2 linked regions of the Ovis aries genome follow. The protein of the gene in region 1 interacts with the protein of each later gene in a pairwise test. Links are inferred from orthologs where the notes say so. Each region holds a gene or a part of one and is shown in the gene's direction. Other genes may lie near its edges. The genes, in order: RPS14 and KRR1.

The links.
Region 2: the proteins of RPS14 (region 1) and KRR1 interact in binary tests that used the Homo sapiens proteins (3 or more experiments, as listed by UniProt). The link is inferred for Ovis aries from reciprocal best matches to the Homo sapiens genes RPS14 and KRR1.

Annotation. Positions count from the first base shown.
Region 1 is NC_056058.1:59,533,183-59,550,602, reverse strand, and holds RPS14 (small ribosomal subunit protein uS11), read left to right. Parts: upstream 1-9,495; 5' UTR 9,496-9,733; intron 9,734-10,343; 5' UTR 10,344-10,345; coding exon 10,346-10,494; intron 10,495-10,985; coding exon 10,986-11,147; intron 11,148-12,113; coding exon 12,114-12,190; intron 12,191-12,883; coding exon of another isoform or gene 12,884-12,900; exon of another isoform or gene 12,901-13,104; coding exon 13,105-13,172; 3' UTR 13,173-13,222; downstream 13,223-17,420.
Region 2 is NC_056056.1:111,513,320-111,529,155, reverse strand, and holds the end of KRR1 (KRR1 small subunit processome component homolog), read left to right. Parts: intron 1-929; coding exon 930-986; intron 987-2,228; coding exon 2,229-2,399; intron 2,400-5,153; coding exon 5,154-5,231; intron 5,232-5,322; coding exon 5,323-5,422; intron 5,423-7,074; coding exon 7,075-7,214; 3' UTR 7,215-8,325; coding exon of another isoform or gene 8,326-8,597; 3' UTR 8,598-8,903; downstream 8,904-15,836. Other genes in the region: GLIPR1 (glioma pathogenesis-related protein 1), read right to left, coding at 8,326-8,597, 11,361-11,446. UniProt on the Homo sapiens protein: Part of the small subunit (SSU) processome, first precursor of the small eukaryotic ribosomal subunit.

The DNA of each region.
Region 1 (17,420 bases):
CCAGCCTTAAATGCTGGTAGATGCGGGTTTCATCTACCAGGGAATCCTGTTGGATTTCCTTTCAAAATATAACCAAATTTTGAGTACTTCCTTCTATCTCAACTAATGCCACCTTGGTCCCACTGACCAATCATCTTTCATCTCTTCACCGCGACCCCTGCTCCCACTGTAGTCCCTCACACCACCCTCACTGGGAGACTAGCCTCCACAGAGCATCCGTGCTGATCCTATTAAACCTGAGTCACACTCCGTCACTTCTCTGCCCAAAACCCTCCAATGCTTTTACTCAGAGCAAAAGCCAAAATCCTTACAATGACCTAAAGGCCTATACAATCTGCCCTTGGCACACATTCTCTTTTCTTTTTCTAAATTTTTTTTTTTTTTTGGCTGTGCTGGGTCTTCGTAGCTGTGCAAGGGCTTTCTCTAGTTGTGGTGAGTGAGGGGTTACTCTTCGTTGAGTTGTGGGGGCTGCTCACTGAGTGACTTCTCTTGTTGCAAGAGCATGGGTGCCAGGCGCGAGGGCTTCCGTAGTTGCGGCGTGCGGACTTACTAGTTGTGGCTCGTGGGTTTTGTCACCCCATGGCATGTGAAATCTTCCCGGACCAGGGGACCAATGTCCCCTGCATCGGCAGGCGGATTCTTACCTACTGGACCACCTGGGATGTCCCTCCACCATTTTTTTCCCTCATCATTACATTGTTACATCTCCACATCCCCTCACTCACTCCCTCCAAATCCAGCCACGCTGGCCTTGCTCGTCCTTCAATATGTCACTGAGGCTTCTACCTCTGGGCCTTTGTACACGCTCTTCCCTCTGCCAGTAATGGTCTTCCCTTAGTTCACTGACGATAAAGGGAAGGCTTGCCCCCTGTCCTCCTTCATGCCTCTGCTCAAATCTCTCAAGGAGACTACTCTGCTCTCTCATTTTTAAAAAAATATTTTAAAAATTAATTTACTTATTCAGCTGTGCCAGGTCTTAGTCACAGCATGTGGGATCTAGTTCCCTGACCAGGGATTGAACCCAGGGCCCCTGCGTTGGGAGCGTGGAGTATTTAGCCACTGACCACCTGGGAAGTCAGTGCCTCTCTATTTAATTCTGCAAATGCCCCATCCCCTTTCCTACCTGCCCCGCCCCCTTTTCTCAGACACCTCGCCACACTTTCCCTTGCTGGACTTCTTTTTTCATAGTGCTGGTTAGCTTCTAACACAACAGAAAATTACCTTAAATAGTGTGTCTGCCTTTCCTGCCAGAAGGTGAACTCCAAGATAGAATGGATCATTATCTAGAGCAGGACCAGACACATACTAGGTGATCAATAAGCATTCATCGAAGGCATGAATCATCAAGGGAGGTGCTGGCAGACATAGCCCCTGTGCTCACAGTATTGATGGCACGTGGGGTGGGCTGGGATGGGGAAAACAGACACAGCAGAAGGGAGGTGAGAGCCCGCAGACGGTGGCTCCGGCCATTCCTCCAGCCTGACCTCCCGTCCCTCCGCCCTCACACACAACAGCCCAGCTGGTTTTAATTCCTTCAACCCTCCAAACGCCTTCCCGGCCCGGGACCTTTTCATACACTGGGGCCCATGCTCAGGCCATTCTTCCTGCCTTCGCTTAGGGAATTCCTGCACTGCCCTCAAGTCTTACCCTGGAGCCACTGTTGCTTTGTCTCAGAGCCTGGCACTAAGCCCCCTGTAAAAATATAACTCTCAGTATACATTTCTTTAAAATTATCCCACTCCACAGATGACAAAGCTGAAGCCCAGAGAGGTTCCAGTTTTTGCCCAAGGACCCACAACCAATAACTCTCTGTTGAAATAATAAACATGTTGAATAGACAATGACAGTGGAGGGCTTCCCTCGTGGCTCAGAGGTTAAAGCGTCTGACTGCAATGTGGGAGACCTGGGTTTGATCCCTGGGTCGGGAAGATCCCCTGGAGAAGGAAATGGCAACCCACTCCAGTATTCTTTCCTGGAGAATCCCATGGACTGAGGAGCCTTGTGGGCTATACAGTCCACAGGGTTGCAAAGAGTTGGACTGAGCGACTTCAAAAAAAAAAAGAAAGAAAAAATGACAGTGGAATCTGAAAACAGTGACTTTGAAGACTTCTGGCACTTTCCTATGGAAAGATTTGTCCCGAGGTGACTGTGGGCTGCCTCCAGCCACAAGATGAAGCTGTGCTCCCTCCATCAAGCCTTCCCGCACTGAGGTTTAGAGATCTGTGTGTTCAGTACAACTCTTTTATTTGTCTATTTGGCCGCATCGTGTCTTAGCTGCAGCGTGCAGGATATTGCATCGCAGGGCACAAGCTTTCTAGTTGTGGCACAAAAGCTCAGTAGCTGTGCTGCACAGGTTTAGTTGATCCCCGGCGTATGGGATCTTAGTTGCCTGACCAGTGATCGAACCCATGTCCCCTGCATTGTAAGGCAAATTCTTAGCCACTGGACCACCAGGGACATCCTTAAGACAACTCTATCCAGAGCAGAAACTTACTCCATAATGCTCCAGTCTCTGCTAACATACCTTCTCCACTGGGGAACTCAATACCACAGAACAAAATGGTTCTTTCTTTCCAAGAATATAAACAGACAAATCACAAAAGAGATGCAAATGTGCAAAACAATCCATAAAGATGTGTCTGACTTTGTTAATTACAGAAGAAATACAATACAGTAAGGAGGTAGATTTAGAGTCTCAGTTTAACAGAAGTGAAAATTGATAACAACTTTCTGGAGGGCAGTTTAGCTACAAATATCAAAACTTAAAGTACATATTGCCTTTGACTGCTGGCAATTTACCCCAACGAAAGAATATCACAACTGTGTTTGTGACACTTCTGTTTATATTTCAAAATTCTGGAAATAAATGTCCTACAATACAGAACTAGTTAGATAAACAGTGAGACAGCTATAGAGAGGAATACCATATAGTAGTAAAAAAAAATAATGCGATACAGGGATTCCTGAAAGTGAAAGTTGCTCAGTCGTATCTGACTCTTTGAGACCTCATTAACTATACAGTCCATGGAATTCTCCAGGCCAGAATACTGGAGTGGATAGCCTTTCCCTTCTCCAGGAGATCTTCCCAAGGTCTCCCTCATTGCAGGTGGATTCTTTACCAGCTGAGCCACGAGGGAAGCCCAAGAATACTGGAGTGGGAAACCTATCCCTTCTCCAGGGGATCAAACCAGGGTCTCCTGCATTGCAGGCCGGTTCTTTACCAACTGAGCTACAGAGAAGACCTATAGCGATTCCTGGTTGCTTGCAAAGAAGAGAACTGGGTTTCTGAGGACAGGAGAGGAGTAGGGTTTTTTTTTTTAAGCAAAGGGAGAAGAGTTTAATACTCAAATTAGGTATAAAGTTGTAGCAGCGTGAATGCAGGGAAACCACAGGCCCCTGGGACGTTAACAGCAGATAATGTCACCTCCCGAGAATGGAGAGAGTATTTCTAGACCTGAAAACAGAGAAGGGGCATCCCACAGAAGCCCAAGTCACGGGACCCAGACAGCTTGCTGACAGAGACCAGGGACATAAGTCTGCCCTCTGCATCTCCCTTCCAGTCTCTTCTGAGTTCTAACCAGAACCAGAGGGCAGGGACATAGTCTGAGGTTTTCAGGACAACTTAGCACCCCGGGCCCTAGGATAGAGTGGAGAGGGCAATGCCAGAGGAAGAGCTCTGGTATGTTTAATTTTTAAATTTGTGTGAATGCACTTAATATTCAAAATAATAAATGAAATATTAAATACCTGTGAAAAAATGTTGTAGATCTCTCTATTAGTTGTTTTGGGAGGATGTCCACAATGTTGAGTGAGAAAAAAAAGTCACATACAGAACACACGTGGCATACAGAACACAATTTCATTTACATAAGACTGAATATTATAGGTATAGATACAAGTAAACAAAATTATTTCTGGAATGATGCTCCAATCTGATAATAGTGGTATCTCGAGAAGAAAGAATTTAGAGATGATTTTTACTTTTTGCTATTTATTTTCTGTAGTGTGAGGATTGTTTATAATGAGCATGCTTTTTTAATACTATCGGGGGAAAATGTTGTAAAGTTATTTTCTTTTAAAAAAGAAGTGCCTCCATACACACTACTATATATAAAATAGATAACTAATAAGGACCTACTGTCTGGCACAGTGGAGTCTACTCAGTACTCTGCAACGGGCTATATGGGAAAAGAATCTAAAAAAGAGTGGATATCTGTATTTGTATAACAGATTCAGTTTGCTGTACACCTGAAGCTAACACAACATTGTGTTAATCAATTATACCCCAATTAAAAAATTAAAAAATGTGCCTCTTCTGTATGCTTTGGATTGGCCAAAGCATTTGTTCAGGTTTTTCCACATCTTACATCTTACGGAAAAACCTTAACTAATGTTTTGGCCAACCTGTGTGCAGAGATGGTGTTTGGAAAGAACACACACCAAGGTATTAATAGTGGTGGGCAAGACTCGTTTCCTTTTTCTTCTTGTTCTCCATTCTGAATATTTCTATTCTATGGGTTTTCTTTAATTAATTACTTTTCATAAAGGGGAAAGAGGGCATTACATTTTTAAAAAGACGTTCTTCCCTGGGTTTTCCTCCAGTGGCTGAGAGTACAACTGCCAATACGGGGGATACGGGTTTGATCCCTGGTGCAGGAAGACCCCACATGCAGCGGAGCAACTCAGCCGGTATACCGCCACTCCTGAAGGCCGAGCACCCTAGGGCCTGCGCTCCTCAGGAAGAGAAGCCACCGCAATGCGAAACCCGCACACCAAAACTACAGAGCAGCCCCCGCTCACTGCAACTAGAGAAAGCCCACGTGCAGCGACGGAAACCTAGTGCAGCCAAAAACAAACAGATGAATTTTAAAAAAGCTCTTCCTGAAATCAAGCCCAAGTTGTTCAATGGCATCAATTACAGTACACAAAGAGCTACATGCTATGTTACATAATTGCTCATTCTGTTAAAAAATTATATATATATATTTCACTATGTAGGCATTATATGTACATGCATGTATTGATATATTAATATACACACACCTCTGCATACACACACACACACACACACATACACACACACAGAGCACAACACATGACCTACTTTTTGTCCCTTCTTCATGTCTATACATTCCAATCCTTCAAGGTCCTTCAAGCCTGTTATTAGAGGGATATATGGAAGTAGTTATTAAACACAGACTTTGAAGTCAGAATTCCAAATTGCCCACAACTGTGTAATTTCAGTTAAAATTGCTTTCTTTAAATGTAAGGCTGGACACTATAAGCTCTTAGAGGAAAACACCGGCAGAACACTGACATAAATCACAGCAATACTTTTTGGATCTGTCACCTAGAATAATGAAAATTAAAACAAAAATTAAAAAATGGCAACTCCTTAAATTCAGTCTTCTGCATAGCAAAAGAAACCATTCACAAAATGAAAAGACAGCTGACACAATGGGAGAAAACATTTGCAAATGAAGTAACCAACAAGGAATTGTGTCAAAAAACACACAACCCAATCGAAAAATGGGCAGAAGGTCTAAATAAACATTTCCCCAAAGAAGCCATATAGAAGGCCAAAAAGCACATAAAAAGATGCTCAACATCACTAATTATCAGAGAAATGCAAATCAATTATCAGAGAAATGCAAATCAGTGATAATGACGTATCACTTCACACTGGTCAGAATGGCCATCATCAAAAAGTCTGCAAACAATAAATGCTGGAGAGGGTGTGGAGAAAAGGGAACCATCCTACACTGTTGGTGGTAATGTAAATTGGTATAGCCACTATGGAGAACAGTATGGAGGTTCATGAAAAAACTAAAACCAGAGCTATCATATGACCCAGCAGTTCCACTCCTATGCATGTATCTGGAGAAAGCTAGAATTCAAAAGGATGCATGCAGCTCAATGTTCACTGCAGCACTGTTTACAACAGCCAAGATGCGGAAGCCTCTTAAACATCCATTGACAGGGGAATGAATAAAGAAGTGGTAGGGCTTCCCTGGAGGCTCAGCGGTAAAGAATCCGCCTGCCAATGCAGGAGACACTGATAGGATCCCTGATTCGGGAAGAGCCCATGTGCCGTGAAGCAACTAAGCCCATGTGCCACGACTATTTCGCCTGTGCTCCAGAGCCCAGGAGCTGCGTCTACTGAGGCTCATGCGCCCTAGAGCCTGCGCGCCACAGCAAGAGAAGCCACCACAGTGAGAAACCCGAGCACCGAAGCTAGAGAGTAGCCCCCGCTCAACACAACTAGAGAAAAGCCTGCACCGCCACAAAGACCCAGCACAGTCACAAATACATACGTAAAAATTATTTTAAAATGATAATCTTAAGAAAAAGTGGTAAATACATACAATGGAGTATTACCCAACCATGAAAAAGAATGAAATAATGCCATCTGCATGGATTGCGTGGATGACCTGAAAATCATCATACTAAGTGAACCGTGAACTTCCAGACGTTCAAGCTGGTTTTAGAAAAGGCAGAGGAACCAGAGATCAAATTGCCAACATCCACTGGATCATGGAAAAAGCAAGAGAGTTCCAGAAAAACATCTATTTCTGCTTTATTGACTATGTCAAAGCCTCTGACTGTGTGGATCACAATAAACTGTGGAAAATTCTGAAAGAGATGGGAATACCAGACCACCTCATCTGTCTCTTGAGAAACCTGTATGCAGGTCAGGAGGCAACAGTTAGAACTGGACATGGAACAACAGACTGGTTCCAAATAGGAAAAGGAGTACGTCAAGGCTGTATATTGTCACCCTGCTTATTTAACTTATATGCAAAGTATATCACGAGAATAGCTGGGCTGGAGGAAGCACAAGCTGGAACCAAGATTTCTGGGAGAAATATCAATAATTTCAGATATGCAGATGACACCACCCTTATGGCAGAAAGTGAAGAAGAACTAAAGGGCCTCTTGATGAAAGTGAAAGAGGAGAGTGAAAAAGTTGGCTTAAAGCTCAACATTCAGAAAACTAAGATCATGGCATCTGGTCCCATCACTTCATGGGAAATAGATGGGGAAACAGTGGAAACAGTAGCTGACTTTAATTTTCTGGGTTCCAAAATCACTGCAGATGGTGACTACAGCCATGAAATTAAAAGACGCTTACTCCTTGGAAGGAAAGTTATGACCAACTTAGACAGCATATTCAAAGGCAGAGACATTACTTTGCCAACAAAGGTCCATTTAGTCAAGGCTATGGTTTTCCAGTGGTCATGTATGGATATGAGAGTTGGATCATAAAGAAGGCTGAGCACCAAAGAATTGATGCTTTTGAACTGTGGTGTTGGAGAAGACTCTTGAGAGTCCCTTGGACTGCAAGGAGATCCAACCAGTCCATCCTAAAGGAGATCAGTCCTGGGTGTTCATTGGAAGGACTGATGCTGAAGCTGAAATTTCAATACTTTGGCCACCTGATGCAAAGAGCTGACTCATTGGAAAAGACCCTGATGCTGGGAAAGATTGAGGGCAGGAGGAGAAGAGGATGACAGAGGATGAGATGGTTGGATGGCATCACCAACTCAATAGACATGGGTTTGGGTGGACTCCAGGAGATGGTGATGGACAGGGAGGCCTGGCGTGTTACAGTTCATGGGGTCGAAAAGAGTTGAACATGACTGAGTGACTGAACTGAAGTAAATCAAAGACAAATATCATATGATATTATTCATATGTGGAATCTAATTTTTTTAAGCTGCTAAGACTCCTTTTATTTAAAAACATTTATTTATTTGGCTGTGTCAGGTCTTAGTAGCAGTATGCAGGCTCTTCATTGGGTCATGGGCCACATGGGCTCTCCAGTTGTGGGAAGCTCTGGAGTTGTGGCATTTGGACTTTATTTCCCTGCAGCATGTGGAATCTTAGTTCCCCCACAAGGGATGGAACTTGAATCCCTTGCATTGAAAGGCAGATTCTTAACCACTGAACCACTGGGGAAAGTTCCTAATTTTTTTAAAGAAATGATACAAATGAACTTATTTACAAAACAGAAACAGACTTACAGATATCAAAAACAAACTTATAGGGACTTCCTGGTGGATAGGAATCCACCTGCTTGCTAAAGCAGGGGATGCAGGTTCCATCCCTGATCCGGGAAGATTCCACATTCCTAGAGGCAACTAAGCCAGTGCACCACAGCTACTGAGCCCCAGTTCTAGGGCCTGTGCTCCTCAAGAAGAGCAACCACTGCAATGAGAAGCCCACACTCTGCAGGGAACTGCGGCCTCCACTTTCAGAAACTAGAGATAGCCCTCATACAACAAGGAAGACCCAGTGTGGCCAAAAACTAAGTAATAAATAAGTAAGATTATTTTTAAAAAACAAACTTATGGTCACCAAAGGGAAAACGTGGTTGGGGGTGGGGGGTAGATAAGTGAGGTTTGCGATTAAGGTACACACAATAATACATAGGAGGATGGCATAGCAACCCACTCAAGTAATCTTGAGGGGAAAATCACATGGACAGAGAAGCCTGGTGAGCTACGAGCAGTGGGGCTGAAAAAGAGTTGGACACCACTGAACTGACAGAGCTTGCAGGCCCTACTATATATAAGTAAAAACAAACAATGACCTACTGAATAGAAAAGGGAACTCTACTAAGTATTCTGATAACCGATACGAGGAAAAGAATTTGGAAAAGAATGAATATCTGTATAACTGAATGACTTTGCTGGACACCTGAAACTAACACAACACTGTAAATAAACTATATCCCCCCAAACCCCAAAATCTATACTCCAATAAAATGTTTTTGAAAATCTCTTTCTTTAAAAGAAAAGTCAAACAGTATCTATTTAATAGTATCTATCTGTTAACGTGGTGACGATCAAATGAAGCAATGCATATGAATATAGGCTGGTATAAAATAACAAATATTGAATAATTTATTCTTATTTTGCCAAGTACTCAGTAGTTAAAAGGCCTTCCCTGGTGGCTCAGACTGTAAAGAATCTGCCTGCAATGCAGGAGACAGGGGTTCGAACCCTGGATCAGGAAGATCCCCTAGAGAAGAGAATGGCAGGCAACTCACTCCAGTATCCGTGCCTGGAGGAGGAAATGGACAGAGAAACCTGGAGGGCTACAGTCGAAGGGATTGCAGAGTCAGAGACGACAGACAAATACTGTTGTCATTTACCTCCGCACCGCGAGGGGAGCTGCCGCCCTCAGGCTAGGCAGGCTCCGGGCTCAGGGTGGTGGAAGTTCGTCTAGCCGCGGTCACCGCCATCTTAGAACGCAGGCCTTCCACACCCACGGGGTGTGGCTGCTGCTTTCAGTCTTAGAAGCAGACCGCTCGTCAAGATACCCAGGCCCTTACCTCCTTAGGCGCTCCCTTCAGTAAGCTGTGTTCTCCAGGCGTTTTAATCTCCTTGGAAACGCTAAAATCGGCGTCTTCCGGGAGCTGGCCTCGCCCCGTGACCTCAGACGTGCACTTCCGGGACAAGAGCGTGACCCGTCGCCCCGCCCTCTTCCACCCTCTCTTTCCGGTGGCGGAGTCTGGGGAAGACGCTCAGGTAGGAATCCTGGACAAGGAAAATCGGCTGGCATCCTGCAGCACGGGGGCTCATCGGGGCCAAGGGCTTGGGGCTGAGGTCTTTCTGCGGGAAACAAACCTCGTGCCGGGCGAGAGGAGCACGGCGGGCTGACCCAGACTGTTTCGCGCCCTGTCTCGGGAGGCGGCCGCCTTGGTTTAGGAAAAAGCTGTTAAGTGTGGGTGAGTTCGGATCCAGCCTTGAAGGCGTAGGCCCGGCGCCAAGACCACCACTACCTTAACCGGCAGCACACCGTGGTTGGGAAGGATTGGGTAATAAGTTGGTCTAATGGAGTTCCCACCTTAACCGGTTTTTTCCTGGGCAGTCTCATCCCGGGCCTCTGATCTCTGGAGTTGTCGAATCTGGAAAGTAGGAATAATCGTCTCGTGAATCCCGTGGGGATGTAGTGAGGATTCAAGAAGGGAATGCAGAGGAAATGGCCTTTCCTTAGGTGCTTCCTAAGTCCGAGTGACTGCTAAGTCGGGCACATTGCAGTTTCTGTGCAGGTCTCTCAGAGCCAGAAATTGAGGGTAGGGATTGCACATCGTTGTTTGCTGAACACCTATCACGCGCCTGCTGCCCCTGAAGCCAGAGATGAGGGGCACTCTGGTCTTGGCAGGGTGGGTTGGGAGTCCCCTGGGAACCCTGATTTCTGCTCCCGCCGGCCTGGAGCGGGAGAGCCAGAGCTCTTCAGTGTCCTGCTCACCTTTCTCGGGAAGGAAGTAACTCCCAGAGTTGTAAACATTTGGGGTTTTGTCCTTAACGTTGGAATTTGTTTTTTTTCTCCTTAAGAGATGGCGCCTCGCAAGGGGAAGGAAAAGAAGGAAGAACAGGTCATCAGCCTCGGCCCTCAGGTGGCTGAAGGAGAGAATGTATTTGGTGTGTGCCACATCTTTGCATCCTTCAACGACACTTTTGTGCACGTCACCGATCTTTCTGGCAAGTGAGTTACCCCCGTGGGGAGGCACAGGACCCAGTTAGCAAGGGCTGGGATTAGAAATGACCGGGGAACTGAGTAGCACTTTAAGGGGATCTCTGGAAATATTTTCATTAAAGATGTTCAGATAAGGATAAGTGCTTGGTTGATTAGTGCACAGATGCTGTAATCTAGATGCTGGAGTTCTAAGAGAAAAGGAGGTACACTTTGTGCCTTTACAGCCTGGGGACTTGTTATGTAAAATGAGGAGGAATTACTCCTATTACTCGAGTAATAAGATTAAAGCTAAGAGTAAAATGTTGATGCAGTGTTAATCTGGGATCTGTGAACACCTTCACTGCAGAGCCTAAGGCAGTCTTGTGGGATCAGGATGATGTTCAGATTGACCTTCATCCGCTGCCCTTCCTGGGCAGTACTGCTCTTTATCTTTAGGGTGTGATATGCACTCTGAATCCTTGATGGGTAAGAAAGAGAGGATCCTGTGCTTTTGTTCCCAGGGAAACCATCTGCCGTGTCACTGGTGGGATGAAGGTGAAGGCTGACCGAGACGAGTCCTCTCCATACGCTGCCATGTTGGCTGCCCAGGATGTAGCCCAGAGATGCAAGGAGCTGGGGATCACTGCCCTCCACATCAAACTCCGGGCCACAGGAGGGAATAGGTAAGGCTCGGGGGAGAATGAGGTCCCTGAGCTTGGGCAAGGCATCATGGGTACCTATGTGATTAATATGGGCATACCTCAGAGACACTGTGGGTTTGGTTCCAGACACCACTGCAGTAAAAATATCCCAGTAAAAATGAGCAGCGCTGTTTTCTCAGTGTGTATAAAAGTTACGTTTACACTATACTGTAGCCTATTGTGTGTGCAGTAGCATCCTGTCTTTTTTAAAAAACGCAGCATACCTTAATTTAAAAATACTTTATTGCTTTAAAGAAAATGTAACGGACTTTTTTTATAAAGGCATGATTTGTGAAGCACAATTACGTGAGGTGTGCCTGTATTTGGTCTGCACGACCCCTGCCCCAACTTACTGTGTTAACTGAGCATACACAGCATGTGAAGTGCTATGTTCTACGTACTAGAAAAGAGTGATGGGGGAAAACAGGTATTGTTCCATCCTCTGTGGCTCTCAGGCTGGCAGAGTCAGGCTTTAAAAAAAATAGAGAAGGGGAGCGTATGGTTCCTTTTTGCAGTAAATGTTGGGAAGCAAAAATGTGTCAGGGCTGGGTTGATAATAAAGTTTAAATGAAGACCTAATGTTGTGATATTAGGAATTGGTCCAGTGAAGGAAGGACAGACGAGAGTATTACAGCCAGGGACAATGGTCTTGGAATGGAAATGAGCTTGGCAAATCTCTGGGCATGAAAACTTTTTAATAGTAATGGTTTGAGGTTGAGGTTGGTTTGTCTGTTAAAGATGGCCGCTATGTTGGGAAGAGACCAAACAGGAAGTTGTTAAGTGATCCATTGATCTTGGGAGGGTGGGAAAGGACAGATCACCAAAAAGACTTAGAATCACAGCATGTGACGAAAGGGAGCACAAACTGTGGCCCATGGTGCGGGGGCAGTATGCAGCAAATAATGACTTGGCCAAAGGCTTTTCTTAATTTCGGTATTCATTTTCTAGGACCAAGACTCCTGGACCAGGGGCCCAGTCAGCGCTCAGAGCCCTCGCCCGCTCAGGGATGAAGATTGGGCGGATTGGTGAGTACCCCTCCTTGGCTGATGCTTAGTTTCCTTTCAAGTGTGACCCCAGAAAGCATGCGGTCTGTGCAGTGGATATAGGCCCTGGTCTGCTAACTCTTGGCAGTTAGATTTGTTAATGGGGTGTGCAAGAGGTACCGAGTGACATAAACTCTCTACCTGAGCACTCACGCCACCTTGACCTCAATGTCCTGCGTTGGAACAGCACCGTGTCATTTCTGTACTTCTGTGCCTGATGGTGGCTGGTGGAACTAATGGGAGATGAATTGTCCTTTTTAGTGTTTTCAAGGGAGTTGTGTTCAATATTTGGGGGGGCTGACTACTGTGTATTGGTAGAGCTGGCCAGTCATTGTGACAAAAATATGTGGGGGGTGGGCAGTGGCTCCCATGGTTGAGAATCGCAGCAGATCTCTATACTTGCATAGTGTTTATACCCTTGTGTCTGTGATCTGACCATTTATAGCTCTTAGGAAGAAAATGTTAGCCCTTCCCTGCTATTTCTGTGGCAGTGTGTACTGATCCCCTCGACCTGATGGTCCATCTCTCTAGAGGTTTTTTCCAAAACATTTTCACTCTTCTTTTACCTAATTAAAATGGAGCTATTCTTCAGTTTGAGAGGACTTTTCCACTAGAGTCAGTGGGCTAGGTATCAGAGACCTGGATTTGCCACCTGCCTCTGACATCCTATTCAAGGTGCCTGCTCTGTCTGAGCCTCCGTTTCCCCTTCACGGAAGTTGAGTTCAAACTACGTGAGGAGTTTTGAGGAGGCAGCTCCACACCCATCTGCTACATACTGAGGACTTCCTTGTGAAGCAGTAGGATCCACTGCTGATCTGCTTGACCACGGGCCTCGGGCGGCCTGCTCCCCTTCCCACCCAGCTCCAGACAATGACGTGTTCTCTTCCTCCCCACAGAGGATGTCACCCCCATCCCCTCCGACAGCACCCGCAGGAAGGGGGGTCGCCGTGGTCGCCGTCTGTGAACAGGACTCCTCAAATTATTGCTTTCTGTTAATAAATTGCTTTGATGTAAGCTGTTTTTGACTCCAGTCGTCTCTCCTTTATGTAGGGGCCACTGGTTGGGGGTAATTGATTCCTTCTTTCTGTCTGTATTTAACCAGGGTATGGGGCTGTCTTGAGGTCACGGATGCATTGAAAAACCAGCAGCCATTAATAGATAGATTACTTCAGAGAATAGGTATAACCTGTCAGAGAGGAACACGAGGTGTTGATCCAGCCCCTGCCCTGGGACAGGGAGAGCCTGTGTTCTCTGAACTGGTTTCCTGAGGAGGAGCTGAAGGAGAGGTGAAGATATGGTGCTACGGTTGGGTCTTCTCAACACTACTGGTTGTGGCATTAGTTGCCTCAGTCATCTAAAGAGACCAAGGTCTTGGAGACCTTGTTTTGAAAGTGGAGATGTTGATTCCAAAAATGGACCAATTCTTAAAGAGCGGGAGTGGAGTGGAAACTGTTGAGCCCAGTGTAGCCTGAACAGAAGAGCCTTCCAGACAGCCATATATAAACACATGTGGGTGGGTACTCGCCCCCCACACCTTCTGTGCAAAAAAGGGAGTACACTGTCTTGTATCTTTTCTCACTTGGCAGATCTAGGAGGTTGTTCTACATCAGTACATAAAGTACATAAAGATTCAGTCACCCACCAATACACACCAAGCCCTATTTTCATCAGTGATAAAAAAGTTTGTCCTTTCCGGAAGCCTGCATCCAACTCCAAGTACCCATTGGCACCAGATGGTCCTGAATGTTATGCAGAGGATTAGCCCAGGGCCCTGTGATGGTGACTTCTACTCCGAGGCAAGACAATGACATGGTGCTTTCAGGGTTCATCCCAGCAGACATGTTTCAGTACTTCATTCCTTTTTATTGCTGTTTAGTATCCATTTCCCAGGTAGGCATCTACTTAACGACTCCCATCCCACTTGGAAGAGCCTTGAAGAGGTGAGTCTTGCCATGGCTCCTACCAACTTCTGTGTGTGATGGATTAGCCATAAATGAGTCGATGTTTATCATCTTTAAAATGAGTAATTACAACACAGTATAAAATGAGTCCATGCTGATACAGGTGATCTTAAGATGAAGGCATAAATCTTACAAAAACTAAAAATAGTTGATCCCCCTTCCAGTAAGTGAACTTACCTGTGGGCTAGGCTTAGTGACTCAATTTCCAAAGAATAGAACATGGAAGATGTTAGCTTTGGGGAGATGAACTATCAAGTTTGAACTGGCTGAACTGTTAAGGTTGCTGAACACTTGGATAAATCATGTTTATCTGACCAGTACTCTTGACTTGACAAGATGATGAATACTTCAACTGAATTTTCAATTTCTGGAAACCCATAATCTAGTTAGAGGGCATTCTACAACATATCAACGTTTAAATTGTAAAAAGTTAAACAAGGAGGAGCTGAAGGAGGTGGAATAACAAGGCATTGGATGCTGGACCTGAGAGGGCAATAGTGTAAAAACTAATAAATACTAACCTAGGGACTTCCCTTGTGGTCCAGTGGTTAAGAATCTGCCTTAACAGAGGAGGCAGATTTGATCCTGGTTCAGGGAACTAAGATCCTGCATGCTACAGGGCAACAAACCCCATGTGCTCCAGAGCCCATGCTCTGCAACAGGAAAGCCAAACACCCTGCAATGAAGAGCCTGCACACCACAGTGAAGGCCAGTGCAGCCAAAAAAAAATCTGAATCTGGAGTCCAGTTAGTAGTAATGTACCTGTGCTCCTTAGTTTTGACAAGTGAATTGTTAAAAATGTAAGATACTAGCATTAGAGGAAACCAAATGAGTCATATACAGAAATGTCGTATCTTGCAACTTTTTGGTAAATCTAAAAGTATCCCTAAATAAACATTGCAGGGGTTGGGGGAAGTGAGGGTGCTTTTCTACTGTCATTCTGGTTTCAAAGGCAGGGCATGGTACACAGACCTGCAAGAGGCAGGTATTCCAGGGTGGAAATCCCAGTTCCCCAGATTTGGACTCAACCTTGGGCAAGTTACATAACCGCTCAGCCCTTTAGTGAAAATTCCTGTGATAATGGCAGCCTCATAGTTCATCACAAGAAAGATTAAAGCATTTAATCTGGCACTGAAGAAACTGCTCCTATTCTTAATGCCTGTTCAGTTCTGCCAGGCATCATGAATGACAGCTGGCTGGAATCCTGGTGGGAAGATGCTGGCGCTCACTGAAGCGTTCTTTTTATTTCCTGTGATGGGACTTTGCAACTTGTCCTGCTGTTTCCTGGTAACCAGGGATGTAATCAGGAATTTTTGAAAGCAGTTCATTCCTAGGTTTTGTTTGCAAGTTGCAAAGAGCTAGTTGGTGCAGTCCAGGTTGGAATGTAAGTGGCCTATTGGCCACTGAGGTAGTCAGGGCAGGACTTGGCCTGTTGCCCACCTGAGACTGCAGATGGCGGAAGCCCAACCACTGACTGTTAAGTGCAGCCTCAGTCAGGGCCATAGAGATGGTCCCTACTTCTCACTCCTTTCCCTTACCTGAGCTCCTATAACAGCCTTTCTCCTAACAGATCTTGTCTTCCCTCTGTTCTTTGTTTAGTCGTAAGTGAAGCAAAGACTACTTTGTCAACAAAAGTCCGTCTAGTCAAGGCTATGGTTTTTCCAGTAGTCATGTCTGGATGCGAGAGTTGCACTATAAAGAAAGCTGAGTGCCAAAGAATTGATGCTTTTGAACTGTGGTGTTGGAGAAGACTCTTGAGAATCCCTTGGACTGCAAGGAGATCCAACCAGTCCATCCTAAAGGAGATGAGTCCTGAGTGTTCACTGGAAGGATTGATGTTAAAGCTGAAGCTCCAATACTTTGGCCACCTGATGCGAAGAGCTGACTCATTTGAAAAGACCCTGATGCTGAGAAAGATTGAGGGCAGGAGGAGAAGGGAATGACAGAGGATGAGATGGTTGGATGGCATTACTGACTTAACAGACATGAGTTTGGGTGGACTCTGGGAGTTGGTGATGGACAGGGAGGGCTGGTGTGCTGTGGTTCATGGGGTCACAAAGAGTTGGACGCGACTGAGCGACTGAACTGAACTGAAGTCATGTCCAATTCTTTGTGACCCCATAGACTGGGGCCTGCCAGGCTCCTCTGTCCATGGAATTTCCCAGGCAGGAATACTGGAGTGGGCTGCCATTTTCTTCTCTAGGGACTCTTCTCGACCCAGGGATCAAACCCACATCTCCTGCATGGGCAGAATGATTCCTTACCACTGAGCCACCAAGGAAGCCCTGTCTTCCCTCTGGCCCATGCCTATGCCCAGACCACACTACAGCTGTGTGACCTCAAATTAATTGGATCCTGTCACACATACGAGTGCTATTTTATCCATGCCTCACTCTTATCTTCAGTCTAGAATCCACTCTCCATGAATCTCCAGTATTTCATCTAACTCTGCCATACCTTCACCCTCTCTGCCCAAACCAAACCTGGTTCCTTTCTCTTTGCCGATTCTGCATGCCTTCAGTCTGACTCCTCCAGTATCTTCTCTCCCCAGCTTGGCCTCACTACCCACCACTCACTTGTTAGAATCAGTTTTTCATCAGTCTCAAAGTTATCTTCTGGGATGTCCCTCGAGGTGCTTCTCCACTCAGTTCCCCCATCACTCTTACTCCCCTCGTGGTACCACTAGTCTCCCTCTATTCTAATAGCATATTGCCCTGCTAATCTAGCTCCGAGAGGGCAGAGAGTGTCTTATACAGTGTCTGCCAGCCCAGCTCCCAGTCTGCAAAAATAGGGGCTCTATAAAGACTTGTTCGATGAATCATTGAAAGAATTGGCTTCACCTTCTGTAGTTTAGTCAGTTGAAGGACTTTTCTAATAGATTCTAGATACGTTGAAACAAACATGCATTCTTGGGTTCTAAGAAAGTGAAGGAAATTCCCAGGAGCATTGAAGAAATGGGAAAGAAAAGGACATCAAGATAAAATGCTTTAGGGAGCTGAGAGCTATAGGAAAGAAAGCTGGGGTAACACTTGGGGCAAATACTGGAGTTAGTGCCAGGAGGTTAAGTGAGCTTAATCCCCCAAGGGCTCTGCTCTCAGCCCCAACCACAGCCCCGAGGTGAGGGAACTGAACTTGACTTTCATATTAACCCAGTAACCCTCAGACTTCAGAGCTAATGTGGTCACAGGTGGGAGTGTCTTTGGGCTCTTTGTAGAAGAGCAAGTCCTCTTTGGAGAAAGTGAAAGTGTTGG
Region 2 (15,836 bases), on another chromosome or scaffold:
TGAGGGAATAGCCACTGCTGAACCTTAGCATATCACGGCTAACTTTTGGTAACCACAGAGAGATTCATTTCTGAATTCATCATTACTTCCCCTACTACAGGTTTTAAGTGGGTATTTTAAGCTCTCAGTCTGTAGCAAACATTAGAAGACACATGGGTTTGAATGACTGGAGAACTGAGCAGATCTGTTCTTCGCAGTAACAGCCAGTAGAGGTCAGGCCCAGAAGACTTCTTTTAAGATGTATTTTCCTTGAGTTTTAATATGTTAATGTTTCGTGAATATTAGTTTGTCACATGTTATGAGAAAATCTATAGAGCACATACTGTTTCTGTAAGCTCCTTTTGAGGCTTTTGTTGTATGTATCTGGCTGTGAGCTCTTACTTCCTTTCCAGGGCCTTTAATAATACTTCTTCTGGACCTCTTTCTCATAAGTATCTGCTTTTTTCACATGGCGCAACAACAACTTAGGCGTTTTGAGTATTTCATAGTTTTGTGGAGTCTAAGTATATTATTTAATTCTTACAACAGATCCTTAAGGTGGTTTTATTTCAAATGTATTACAGAATTCAAAAGCTGAAGTCAGGAGGAAAATTAAGTGACTTTCCTCTATGAAGTCCCAGCATTTGCTCACATATTTTCTAACTCTAAGTCCAGCTCTCTTTCCCTAAATTGCACAGCTCCAGACTGTTGTGTTAATTCTGCGTATCACTTTTTTAGCAGTAGAATTGAGAGACTTCATTGTATCCAAGTGAGGTTAACTATTATGAAAGATCCAGAAGCCACTCAGAACAGTTGAAGGGACTAGTATATCCAATTTCGTAGCCATTGCCTGGTTCGTAGGTTATTTTGCAATATATTAATCCTCTTCTACCTAGTTCACTAAAATCTTCATTATAAATAACTGATTCATTTTTCTTTGCAAATTTCAGGTTCGGAAAGTAGTCCTAGACACTATGAAGAATATTCATCCAATTTACAATATTAAAGTGAGTGTTCACTGTTCATTAGTATAACAGTGGTTATCAAATTGTTTTTAGCTACAGAAACTTTTCTTGAAAATAAATCTTTTATGAAAGTCTAATATACAAAACAGATAAAGCAGAACTATTTGGGTAGAGTGAAGCCCACTCAACACTATCCCAGTCCTACAGTTCCTTCTTTGAACTTTGAGGAGTATTGTGTGAAAGAAAGCTGTTGAAGGGAGCTCTGTAATGTAGTGATTCAGTTCTGATACAAATAAAATATGCTTCACAGAATTTGTTGTAAGTGAGTAAGTGAGGTCGCTCAGTCATGTCCGACTCTTTGCGACCCCGTGGACTGTAGCCCATCAGGCTCCTCTGTCCAGGGGATTCTCCAGGCAAGACTACTGGAGTGGGTTGCCATTTGTTGTAGAGGGTACCAATTCAGTTTTCTTAGGCTAAGGAGCCCACAGACTGTATTTAAAAGTGTGATCTTTTAGAATTCTGCCATTTTCTGTAAGTCTGGAATAATTCAGATTGCATTAAAACTTGTTTTGGAATTTAACACTCAAATTATAGGCTCATTGAGAGAGATGTTATATCCCTGTATGCATAACATTCAGTGATTGTTTTTGGAGACATAACCATGGTATGTGATGTTTTATGATGGATATTTGTTAAACAGTCCTTGAATTTGATGAATTTGAAAAGTCACTCTTAGATTGGGGTGAAAAAATGATTTTGCGTTTCATTGGGACATTAAAGAGAGCATGTCTTGCGTGTGATGCCTACTTTGCATCCTGTGATGTGTCAGTGTCGATAAAATTCAGGTGGAGTTGGCTGAAATGTGAAAACGCTGGTTTCATTGATCATGAGAAACTTTAGTTTTTTCTTTCCCTATGAATGATATATCATGTGCTACTAAAAGCTTCCTGCTTGTAGGAAACTTCACTAAGCACTGTCTCTGTATAATTAAGTTGAATTTCAGAGGTTTTAATGAAAAACTGAGTCTTATTTTTCATCTCTATTTTAATGATTCTGTTTCTTAGTCTAAATTTCTAATGGTTTTCTGATACTTGGTTAGTTATGCATATTTGAGATTATATGCTTTTTCTTTACAGAATTGATTTAATCCTACTGAAGCAGCTAAGAGTTGTTCCTTTTAATTTTATTGTTTGTAAGAACATTGTTTATAATGTCTTAGGTTGAGAAACATGTCACTTCTTAAATTAAAGTGTTTACTTTGTTCGTATATTACCATGACCCAAGACTTTAATGATTAAACGAGAGCTGGCGAAAGACTCTGAGTTAAGATCACAAAGTTGGGAAAGGTTTTTGCCACAGTTCAAGCACAAAAATGTGAATAAACGCAAGGAACCAAAGAAGAAAACTGTTAAGAAAGAGTATACACCATTCCCACCACCACAGCCAGAAAGTCAGGTCAGTATTAAATGTTGAATTTTGTTACATGAGAGGGAAAGCATTTTAATCTGTTTTGTCAGAAACTTTGAGGGTGTTTTAGGTGGAATTTCTGTGGGTGTTTGGGTGTGTAGAGATCCAAGAATCTGAAGGTAAGTGTAGATATACTAATTTTGAACTAACTATGGAGGTGGGGAGTGGAAGCTTCATGCTGTGAGAGTAAAATGACATCAAGGTGGTTGAGGTTGGTTGTGTATCTATGCCTGTAGCCGCTGAATGTTCCACGGTTAAAAAATGTCAGTGACGCAGCCGTGAGTGCTTCCAGTTCTGCTTTAGCCTCATTCATGTGACATGTGCTATATATTTTGCTCTGGATTTGAAATCTTAACTTCCAGTATCTGTCCTTTTTTTTTTTTTTTTTAAAGATACGAATGCCTCCCATTTTGTCAGCTGTCTTCTGGCGTAATTTCTTTTCTCTTGCCTGTCGCTGTTTCCTTTCATACTCCCTTGTTCTGTCACACCTGTCTGACAGAGCAGCCCTGAAACTTGCATCAGTCCTAAAACTTGACCTCTTTCCCCATAGTGTGGCTACTAAACAAAGCTGAAGAAAGTCCTTCTTCAGATCATATTCCTTAAAAGCCCACGTTGCCAGCCTCCGATGGTTGCAGCAGTATTCTCTGGCGGCTTTGTGTCCTCGTAATTCTTCTGGCACTCTTCCCCTCCCAGTAGATGACGTTGCTTTTTACCCCTCACATATTTGAGATGACCAGGCAAGAACTCTTTCAGCTTGCTCTTGGCTCACATTTTTTTCCCCATCTGCACCAGTCCATTCTTTGCTTGTGCTTTGAGTTCTTTCTTCACCTGTCTGCTAGAGGATCTTTCTTCATTATTCCCTCCCTTGGCTGTATGTTGAAGTTTTTCCTTTAACCCTTTTTTTTTTCCCTTTATACTATCTTGTCTTTCCCACAGCCCTGTGTTTGCAGTTTTTCAGGGAAGGTTTGATGAAAGGTCAGAGGTGAAAAAGTAATGATGATCATCATAGTGAAAAAAAAAAAGCTGTAAGTGTTGGATCTTGAGCTCTACGTTGGAAAATAAAGTGAAGCCAGAAAGAAAGTGTTAGTTGGGGAAAAGTAGTGAGTGACTCAGGCGGTGAAGCACGCTTCTGTAACACCTGGTGTGCTCCACGAAGCCCTGTCCTGTACTCACTAGTTGTCTTACCTTCCTCTTCTATGACTGTAAGCTCCTTGAATCAGCAGTGTCTCGTTTGGCTTAACTTTGCCACTTATTTGCTATGTTCAGTTGCCCAGTTGGGTCTGACTCTTTGCGGCCCCATGGACTGCAGTACGCCACTCTTCCCTGTCCATCACCAGCTCCTGGAGCTGGCTCAAACTCATACCATCGAGTTGGTGACACCATCCAACCATCTCATCCTCTGTCGTCCCCTTCTCCTCTTGCCTTCAGTCTCTCCCAGCATCAGGGTCTTTTCCAGTGAGTCAGTGCTTTGCATCAGGTGGCCAAAGGATTGGAACTTCAGTTTCAGCATCAGTCCTTCCAATGAATATTCAAGACTGATTTCCTCTAGGATGGACTGGTTTGATCTCCTTGCAGTCCAACGGACTCTCAAGTAACACCACAGTTCAAAAGCATCAATTATTTGGCACTCGGCTTTCTTTATGGTCCAGCTCTCATATCCATGCATGACTACTGGAAAAACCATAGCTTTGACTAGACAGACTTGTTGACAAAGTAATGTTTCTGCTTTTTAACATGCTGTCTAGGTTTGTCATAGCTTTTTTCCCAAGGAGTAAGCGTCTTTTAATTTCATGGCTGCAGTCACCATCTGCAATGATTTTGGAGCCAAGAAAATCAAGTCTGTCACTGTTTCCATTGTTTCCCATCTGTGTGCCATGAAGTGATGGGACTGGATGCCATGATCTTAGTTTTATGAATGTTGAGTTTTAAGCCAGATTTTTCACCTCTCTCTCACTTTCATCAAGAGGCTCTTCAGTTCCTCTTCGCTTTCTGCCATAAGCGTGGTGTCATCTGCATGTCTGAGGTTATGTTAATTAGCATAATTTCACACATTTGTGCCCCCAGTTTCTTTCGACATAAAATGAGGATGATGATCATACCTGTCTCAAAGAATTGTCTGAGAATTTGAGAATTAAGCAAGGTAGTCATTGTAGAGAGCTTAGTAATAGTTTAGAGGGTTGCCTTAGATAGATCAATTGTATGTTTACTATTTAATGACTGAGTTGTTACTTGCTCTAATTAGTATTCAGTCGCTACATCCTGACAGTTCTTGCTTTTCATTTTGTATGATGAACAAAATGAAACTTTAAAACAAAACAGAACAGGGTTTTATCTCCTTTTTTCTGTTCCTTTTATAAAGTGTTACCTGGCTCTCGTCACTCTTCTCAGGAAGCTTCAGTCATTTCTAAATCACGTCCCACCTCCCTTACCTGTCATTCATGTTTCTTCACGTCCCAAACTCTTTCCAAGTGTCTTTCCTCACTTTTTTGAGTCATTGACCTTCCGCCTCCCCTGAAGCAGTCGGTTGAGTATTCCATGGACACCTCACCTACTTTCCTACCTACGTGCTTTTGTGTATGTGTATCCTTGTCAGCTTAGAATACGTTTCCTTCTTCTTAGGCAACTACCTTACGTAAGAGTTTCGACCCTACTGTCTTTACCTCAAGGTCACTGTGAATTTCTTAGGAATTGACTTCCCATCTACATGATTTCTGAAGTAATTGTAAATACTCATTTCAACAGGTTGATAAAGAATTGGCTAGTGGTGAATACTTTTTGAAGGCAAGTCAAAAGAAGAGACAGAAAATGGAAGCAATAAAGGTAAGACTGTGTCTAGCCTGCAACATTAATTGCAAAGTGCATAGATACTTTGGATTCTTACTCAACTGTGAAAACTTTGTTAACCATGTAGGCTAAACAAGCAGAAGCTCTTAGTAAGAGACAAGAGGAAAGAAACAAAGCTTTTATTCCACCTAAAGAAAAACCAGTTCACCTAAAGAAACCTAAGGAAGGTAATGCTGTTTTCTAAGTCTTGTTATGATGCTGAGGTCTGTTAGAGGAAAAGTAAACCCGTAGTGAGTTTGTTGCATCTCGGAGTTCATGTTAAGAAATAACCACATCTTTCATCAGTTCTCTCAGCATTTCATTTCTCACAAATCCTCGGGACGGGGTGACTGAGATAACCCATAATTTAGTACCAGCTCGTCGGGAAGATCCCCTGGAGAAGGAAATGGCAACCCGCTCCAGTATTCTTGCCTGGAGAATCCCATGGACGGAGGAGCCTGGTGGGCTACAGGGTCACAAAGAGTCAGACACGACTGAGCGACTTCACTTTGACTTTCACTGTCTATTTGAGAGTATCCCAGATTGACAGTTGCTTCCTGATCTCTGCTGTGCTAAGGAAGGACTCTTTGTTTTGAAAGACAGAAACCAGAGCAGTGAATCCTCTGTAGAAATAGAGTGGGGAGATCCCTGAGCTCTGCTGTCATGCCCCTTAAAGAGCTTATCAAATTTATACTTTCTTTACTTGTATAATCTGTGACTTAAAACTTGATGCTTGTATTGTTAACATGGATTTCTCATCACTTTGGGTTAAAACAGCACCAGCAAAATAGCAGGAATATCTTTCTTAGAGGCTCTTAAAAAGACACTCGGAAAAAATATCATCATTCCTGGCCTTGTTTTGACCTACCTTCTCTTTTACATTTTCTTTTCCCCTAGTAACCTTTGTACTCTTCTGTAAAGTAACTCTCCGAAGTAGTCAGTGAGGGGAGGGAGGTCACCAGTATTATAAAGTTCCAGTATTGTACATCACCTATTGGTCTAAGCCGGATGTAACATTACCATTTTGTTAATATATATCAGTGTTAACAACTTAAAAAATAGTGTATTCTGCTTCTTAGATCATTGGTTATATAAAAGTTAAAAATATCATAAGCATCATAATTTTTAGTCTGTAGAGTCGGTCAGTTACGTACTCTCAAGGCGTTCACATAGTTTAATCTCACTTTAATACTGAGCCAAGTGTAGCTGTTCCATTGTAGTGGAGACTTGAAGTCTGCTCTCAAGTGGCTGGGGTGTTTGCATGCTGACATTTTATCTTGTGGTTCTTTTATGTCCTGAATACTGTTCTTTAAACGATAAGAAAAAGTTGCCATTTTTCGCTGCTGCTTTTCTTTATTTTGTTCAAACTTTTCGTGTTAACTGCATGGTTTGATTCTGTTAGGACCTCCAGACGCTCTCAGATTATTGTCTTTATTACCAAAATCCTGCTAAATGAAATAATACTAGTCATTCGTTGAACTAATATTTGGAAAACTAAGTTTTTAAAAGAGTACTGTAAAGTTCTAGAATATGGAAATGAATATAAATAATAATTTCAAACAATTTAAGGACAAAAATGTAGTTTCAGCATAGTTGAGTCCAGGAATCGGTTCAGATAAAGTGCAATGTCATTTTCATGTAGATTCTTATTAGCCTGTTTAAGCACTTTGTCTTCTCCTAGTTTGAAGAAATTTCTAACTTTCCTTTTAGCAGGTATTTTGTATTTTATAATACGACCTTTCAATTACAATAGTACTCTGAAATTATTCATATTTCTGTAATCTTTGTTTTATTTGGTGAAATCTAAAGAATTACGTGTATTGTTTTTTAATTTATTTAGCTTCTACTGAAACTAAGATTGATGTGGCTGCCCTCAAGGAAAAGGTTAAGAAAGCAAAGAATAAGAAACTGGGAGCTCTTACAGCTGAAGAAGTTAAGCTTAAAATGGAAGCAGATGAAAAGAAAAAGAAGAAAAAGTAACACAAACTCTGAACTAAAATTTATTAAGCTATCTCCTTTTGTAAAGGATTTTGAAATACTGTAGTTGGCAACATTAGTTGCCTTATCCATGAGAAGTAATACCCTGATCACTTTTTTCTGAGTTTGTTCTTTATTACAGTGTTAATATAAACAACTGTTCTTTATGAATTATTGTATTGTCCATATGTTTTTTGAAAAATTTCATACAAGAGAGTGGTATATATGTGTTTATATGCATTGTATCTAATCTATTCCAGGCAGGTTTTACCTAAGCATGATTTTAGGGGTAGTTTTCAAGGTTGTTTAGACTTTAAATGTCGGAGAAGGCGATGGTACCCCACTCCTGTACTCCTGCCTGGAAAATCCCATGGATGGAGGAGCCTGGTGGGCTGCAGTCCATGGGGTTGCAAGGAGTCGGACACAACTGAGCAACTTACCTTTCACTTTTCACTTTCATGCATTGGAGAAGGAAATGGCAACCCACTCCAGTGTTCTTGCCTGGAGAATCCCAGGGATGGGGGAGCCTGGTGGGCTGCCGTCTGTGGGGTCGCCCAGAGTCGGACACGACTGAAGTGACTTAGCAGCAGACTTTAAATATTATCATGTCCTAGCATTTGGTTTTGAGGAAGTGCTTTAATGTAATCTCATTTACATTTTGTTCCAAAATTAATTCATAATCCAAAAAAGCAAGGCCTTTTAAATTAATTCCCTTAATTACTATTCCAGTATGTCTGAGGAAGTAGTAAGCCATAAGATATCAAATTGCCAGAGAACGTGGAAAACCAGATACGTAGAGTTGGAGCAGCATGCACCAGGTTATTTAGAAGTGTTTTTACTCACGAGGGCCGGTGTGGTGTCTCAGACTCACCTAAATCTAGTTTTGCCAGTTTACATATTTAGAAGCTGAGGCGCACGGGGGATAGAGCTTACTCATTGCAAGTCACAGCTGTGGGAGCTTGGAAACAGTGCTGCTTCTTAAAAAGTGGAATGTGAACGTGAACCATTTCTTCTTTTGAGTAAGGGTTTGCTGCAAATCAGAAATACCCCCAGTAGTTACTGAAACAAAAAACACCATGTTTGAATTAGGGTTTTTTTTCCTCCTTGGATTGTATTATTTCCAAGTAAATAAATGAGGATATTTGCCCTTGGCCCAAATGATAATTATAACACTCAGTATTAGAATTGGTGGAGTAATTAAGAGAAAAAGAGACGTGTATCTGTCACGTGGAAATATCGGCCGGTCTGGAATAGGATAACCTGTGAAACAGACATGAAATATACTCATTAATGGTGTTCCCCATAATGCAGTAACACAGCTCACATAGATCTTAAACGGTTTAAGGTTCATATACATACGTGTCACTTTGTCTCGTTGTGGGTTAGCTGTGAAATCAGAAGAAAGAAAACAAGAATTAAAAGAGTAGGGACTGGTGAGGCTTTTCTTTTTAAGAGCCAAGTCTCTTAACTATAGCCATTTACTGGTGCTTTGGCTTTACTGCAGTGATTTTCAAAGGTGAATTATTCAAGTTTTTTTGTACTTACTGTAATAACGTGATATTTTTAAATCATCTTGTTTATATAAAACTTTTTATATACCACTACTATAAATGGAAACTCATTTTACATAAGCAGATAAAATAAATGTAATAAAAATAAGACATTGCAATTAAAAATAAGTATTAGTAATAATCAGTGTGGGCAATTTGTTAAATATTTTCCTGAAAATTAAGTTTCTCCCTGAGAAGAAGAATCCTATAATCAGTAGTAAAGAGTGTCCTCTGATCTGTTCTAGTCTGTCATTAACTTATTAATAGGACATTTGGCTATCAAAAGTCATAACTATTCCTCTCCACTTGACATTCCAAGACCTGGGGGAAAAAATCCACATCTGCCACAGTCTTCTTATATGTTTTATGAATGGTTAAACACCTTTTCTACACTGGTTCCGGGCCAGCTGCAGCTGGACTCCTGTGGTGGAATCCTCTGCCTGCTCGTGAGCGTCTCTGGCCAGCATGCCTGTGACTGGGCATTGTCTGTGGTGAACTGCCTTCGAAGCTTCCGCTGCTTTAACTTTTCTTGGCATGCACTTCCATGAAATCAAGGTGTGATGTGCTACTTAAATTTTTTCTTACATATATATATTTTTGAAATGTTAAACATCCAACTCTTGAATAGTGAAACAGATATCCTCCACGCACAGGCACTAGCTCAGATCAGCTTGTGTACCATTGGTATTCCCAGTGCATTTTGCAAAACCATCCTAATTTGGCCTCCATTGGTATTTATGAAAAGGTTTTTTTTCCCCTCCAGTGTTTGCTGTAATTTGTCAGAGATGGAATCTGGTAGATAAAAGCCTTTATCCTTCAACCCTTACCCCTCTGCAAGGTAGCTTGTGTTTTCCTTTGTCTTAAGAGTCCAGGGGTTTTTAATTATTGTTGGACTGCAGTCTTAAATTTATGAATTTTATCCCACAAGATTCGAGACCATTTCAAGCTAGATCTCCAAGATCAAAAGCTAAAAGTCCACAAGTTTTCTTCTTGTTATTGTTCTGGTGCTGTTGTTACTAATCATCTAGATTTTTAAAATAGAATAATTAAAAAAAAAATGCAGTCAAATTAGTCATCATTTGTCAGCCAGACTAGGCACTTCAGTTGGTTACAAAGGTGAATTAGATAGGCATAACTTCTGTCTGTTTGGAATTCAGTCTAGTGGGAAAGACGGTTAACCAATAGCAGCAGTAAAATTACTCTTAACATAACTTAAAATAATTGTCCTCATCACTGATTCTAAAGAAGCATTGTGAGGATTGTTTGAGCATAAAAACATCACCTAAAACTTTGGGCATAAAGATGCTACCAGAATACCAAAGCAAACAAGTTTTGAGATTAGAGGGAAGATGAATTTGGGGATAATAGGTAATATTTATCAAGTGTGTGCCAGGCACTTGTTCCAGATTCTCAGAAAAAGTGGTTGAACTGCAGAGAAATAACTGGCTCAGCAGGGTGGTCAAATATTGCTATGTGGCTGGAGTGAAAATGAGAAGTTAATGTATACAGATCTGGAAGAAGGGAACAAATAGTTGAGAGGAATTGGACTTTGAAAACATGTAAGCAGTAGAACACTTTGGCCAAACAAAAATGTATGCTGTTAAACTCAGCCCGTTCCAGCCTCCTGCTTCGGCCGCCCCCGCCAGCCCTGCAGCCCTGAGAGGTTCAGCTGGTTACAGGTAAAGGCCCAAAAGCAGTAGAGGGTTCGCACAACTGTAATGGCTTGATTGAGGGTTCCCTTCACACCTTGTCAAAAAGTAAAAAATAAAAACTAAGATGGGAAGGAATGTGTTTGGAACAGAAAACAAATGGACTCTTGGCCAACTGTGTATTAATACTTTAAAGTGATGTAAAGCAGCCTTGGAAAGTTATCTTCATTGACCTTCTACACGGTTTCTCATTAAATGTTGTCTTACTAGTGAAAAGTGCTACATTGCAACTTTCATTTCATTCAGTTCTGTAGGTGAAAATTTGATTCTTGAATGCTTTGGACAGGTAGAATTCTACCTGAACACAATTCAGAATTATTTTGGTTAACTTTGTTACATTTTTGATCTTGCAGAAATTAGAAATCTTGGGTCTACAATTTCCCATAATGAGTCATTTGTTCTTCTGATTAGTGCTAACTATAAAGGATATTTGCTTCTTTAAATTTCTCTTGAACATATAGTCATTCCCAGGACAGTAAGTCATTGCTTTGATTGCTATCTGATGCCCCTTTTCCTGAAAAGAGCTATTAGGATAAAACAAATGTTTTCATTCTTCAGTTCAGTTGCTCAGTCTTGTCTAACTCTTTGCAACCCCATGGACTGCAGCACACTGGGCTTCCCTATCCTGAGTCACCAACTCCTGGAGTTTACTCAAACTCATGTCCATTGAGTCAGTGATACCATCCAACCATTTTATCCTCTTTTGTCTCCTCCTGCTTTGAATCTTTCCCAGTATCAAGGTCTTTTCAAATGAGTAAGTTCTTCACATCAGGTGGCCAAAGTTTTAGAGTTTCAGCATCAGTCCTCCCAGTGAATATTCAGGACTGATCTCTGGGAAGTTACGAGTTTTGAACACATTGTATTATTGGTAGATTGTTTCTTTTACTCACTGCAAAGATTGTCCAGACAGTTGTCACTCTTGGGGCAGGCACTGCACGGGGATCCTCTTTTATATGGCCAGGTTGGGTAATTGCCTCTGCGAAGAAGAAGAAAACTATCCATCAGGAAAACGGTCCTCCCCGCCCCGCCCGCCCCCCCAGTGCAGTTTATCATGGTCCTTGGCTAAACACTGGGCTTCCCACGTGGCTCAGTCGGTAAAGCATCTGCCTGCAACCTGGGAAACCTGGGTTCAATTCCTGGGTTGGGAAGTTCCCCTGGAGAAGGAAATGGCAACCTACTCCAGTAGATTCCTGGAGAATCCTATGGACAGAGGAGCCTGGCGGGCTGCGGTTTACAGGATCGCAAGAGTCAGACACAACTTAGTACTGTCTTCTTTTTGGCTAAATCCTAGGATTGAAGTCCACAAATTAAGAAGATTGATGAGAGAAGTGGAGAGAGGGAAGCGGAAATGGAAGCCTGCTAATATTTGCCAAATTCATTCTAAGTGCCTGTGTTTAGGAACCTTTGTCTTAATCATCTCAGTTAATTCCTGAGACAACTCTGGAAGAAAGTTATTTTTATTTCTGTTTTATAGGTAAGGAAACTACAGCTCAAAGATTAAGTTGCCAAAAACCACAATGTACAGATATCAGAGTCAATGGGACCTAGGTTTGATTTTAACGAAATGTTCTCTCTAGTTAATGACTCGCCTGTGTGATCACTGCCACCCATAAAACTGTCCATCTTAGAGAAGCTCTCATGACCCACATTTTTGTTCTCAGTCCAGCAAACCTCCATGGTTATTATTGGATAGGAGCCTTTTGGCTGGGGTAAGCATCTTCCAAAAGAAAATAACAAGAGCTATGAGGGAGTTCCTTAAGTGCAATTTGTTTTCACATAAAAGATGTGACATTGATAACATAGTAATTACCGAACACTCATGTACTAGGCACTGTTCTAAGTGTCCTCGAATGAGTCAATCTTCACAATAATCCAATGGGGAAGATACTAATTTTTTAAATTCCCATACCTAGAGGCTTAACACTCTGTTAAGTAACTGACCAGGATCAGCTTAGAAAGTGAAATAATATCCAAACAATTTACATCTCCATAAATAACTTCAGAGTAGTAATGATGAGCGGCTGTACATTTATTTCAATGAACTTGCCATTGCACTAATCTTTTTTTGGAACTCTGCTTTTGGAAAGGAGTTCTTGACTTTTTCGTGTCATGGACCCTTTGGCAGCCTGGTGGAGCCTACAGGTTCTTTCTCGAAACAGTTTTAAAATAGCTAAAATAAAATTCATACGATTACAAAGTAAGCCAATTAAATTGAAATAATTATTAACATGTTAAAAATACTTGTGATATACAAACATACTTCTCTGTGTATTAGATCAGAGCTAGCAAGGAGTCTGGCATCCCAGGAGGCTCTAGTGGTAAAGAACCCACCTGCCAGGGCAGGAGACGTAAGAGATAGGGGTTTGATCCCTGGGCCGGGAAGATCCCCTGGAGAAGGAAATGGCAACCCACTCCAGTATTCTTGTCTGGAGAATCCCATGAGCAGAGTAACCTGGTGGGCTATAATCCACGGGGTCGCAAGGAGTCGGACACGACTGATGCAACTTAGCGCAGCACAGCAGGGAGTCTAATAATTAATTTTAGTGATGAATACAAACTGTTTTGAGAGAACTACAACTAGGATGTGATATGAGATGTCTGACATTTATAAAGACGCAAGTAGTGCTGTCCAGCCATAAGTATTGCTGATGTGACTGGAATGTTAATTCATTAAAAATATTTTCTATAGAAGTTAGTGAAAAAGATGTAACGTTTTTCTAATTCAAATTCATGGACTCCTATCCTCTAATGCTATACATTTATTTTCGAAGTTAAGAACTTCCCCCTTTAAAGACATTACTTTTTACTAACACCTCAATTCCGACTAAAAATACATGTTCAAATTCTTTGGCTCCAAGTTAATTTAGGTTGTTTCAGAAATTAAATTTAGCCCCCGCTTACTCTATACTGTAGAAAATAGTCTAAGGAATATAGTAGAGGTTCTGATAACAGCTATGGAAGATATCCAAAATAGACATTAGTCCTTGGGATATCTTTCCCTGTTAAAAAGCACAGTACTCTTTGAGTTAAATTCTAGAATGTTTTTAATGCAATCACTTATACTACTTCATACTTTAATTGTGCATTCTGTACTATTAAGAGGGAAAAATTGCTACTTCAAAAACAAGCTAAAAGTAACTCAGTTGTGACTTGCAGTGAAATGGCAGAATTCACCTTGGGAAAAAAAATGTTCTGCAAAGACCTGGATTTTGTCTAGAAGGCAATGATTAAGACCAAGAGACCTACAGATTCTGTGCAATAGAAATAAAAGCAAAAATAAACAAACGGAACCTAATCAAACTTACAAGCTTTTGCACAGCAAAGGGAAACCACAGATAAAATGAAAAGACAACCTATGAATTGGGAGAAAATAGGTGCAAATGGTGTGACCCACAAGGCTTAATTTCTAAAATATACAAATAGCTCATACAGCTCAATAACAAATCAACCAATCAAAAAATGGATAGAAGATCTAAATAGACATTCATCCAAAGAAGACATGCAAATGGCCAACGGGCACCTGAAGAGATGCTCAACATCACTCATTACTGTTGCTGCTGCTGCTGCTGAGAGATATAAATCAAAACTGTAGTGAAGCGCCGCCTCACACTGGTCAGAACGGCTACAAGTGACAAATGCTGGAGAGGGTGTGAAGTAAAGGGAATACATATGGAATATGGTGGCGGTTTAGTCGCTAAGTCGTGTCCGACTCTTGCGACCCCATGGACTGTAGCCCGCCGGGCTCCTCTGTCCATGGGATTCTCCAGGCAAGAAAACGAGTGGGTTGCCATTTCCTTCTCCAGGGGACCTTCCTGACCCAGGAATCGAACCCAGGTCTCCTGCACTGCAGGCAGATTATTTATCAACTAAGCTATGAGGGAAGCCCAATATAAGCCCTATATATATATATACGGAATATAACTGACCATAAAAAAGAATGAAATAATGCTATTGGCAGCAACATGGATAGAGCTGATAATTATGCTAGGTGAAGTAAGAAAGACAGATACCATATGCCAGCATATAAATGTGAAATCTAAAATATGACACAGATTTATCTACAAAACAAACAAACATAGAGAACAAACTTGTGGCTGCCAGAGGGTGAGTGGGGGAGGGTGGCTTAGGAGTTTGATTAGCGAATCCAGCTATTTTATATGTATAACTGAATTGGGCTTCCTGGTGGCTCAGTGGTAAAGAATCCACCTGCCAGTGGGAGATGTAGGTTCATAGAAGAACGTGGCAGGTTGCAGACCACGGGGCTGCAAGAGTCAGACATGACGTAGCGGCTGAACAACGGAATCACTGCTGTATGCCGGAAACTAACACAACACTGTAAATCAACTGTACGTCAACAAAGTAAAATTTTATAAGAAGAGACGAGGGAGGCTACGTATTCTGCCCAGTGGAGAAGTAGGAGGTTTCAGTGTTCCCCTGGTTGTCCGAGGGTTGGGGCCCTGGGACTCTGGTGAAGAGGAAAGAAAGATCTTTATAAAGAAAAGTTCAGAGATGAGTAACAGTCCCCAAGGCAGTGATGGCCAAAGGACGCGGTCCTGTACCGTCTGCCTATGGAAGCGGTTGCTTCCACTTCTGTGGTGTAATCGGCTCCTCAGCCATCTGTGTGGAGGTGGGGCCCACGGTGACGAAGAAGAGTCCGTTCAGGACGCTGCAGATTGGGGAGACCCGAGGTGACCGGCAGGGTAGGAGTCGACCCGGGCGAGGCAGTGGAAGCGGGCGAGGGCAGGACTGCAGAGCTGAGCGCCCAGAGCCCATTCTGAGGGAATTTCGGAAACGCTGGGGAGGGACTCGACTTTTCAGAATTACATGGCAGTTCTTGTGTAGAGAAGGAAGAACAGGCTCAGATGGACACAGGACCCTCTTCACTGGTCCCTGGGCTGCCCTCCACTCACCTTCCAGTCCTTTCCCCACAGGCATGCCCAGTGAGCTCCACATTTAAGGCAAGTCTTGTCACCTTCTGCTTAAAACACCTGGATGGCTTCAGCTCATGGGTGGGTCAAGTCAACCTGCAGAGGCCTTCAAGGCCCTGGGCGATCTGCGCTGCCTCCTCCCCCAGCTTCGTTGCATTCACGGGCCAAGCGCCCTGGTCTCTCTCTGTTCTCTCATCCTTTCCACAGGAGCTGGTCTTTGTTTTCATGACTGAATATCTAACTGTTTCTGAGATTCTCCACATGCCTGGTTCCTTCTCACTCTTCATGCCTAAGCTTAAATACATTGTAGAAAGCCCCTCCCTGAGCATTTTATCTCAAACAAGGGCCCTGCCTACTCAGTGTCAATTACAGCATTATTTCTATTTCCAGCATGGTTCCTATCCTCATGCAGTTATTTCATCTGTACTTTCATTGTCT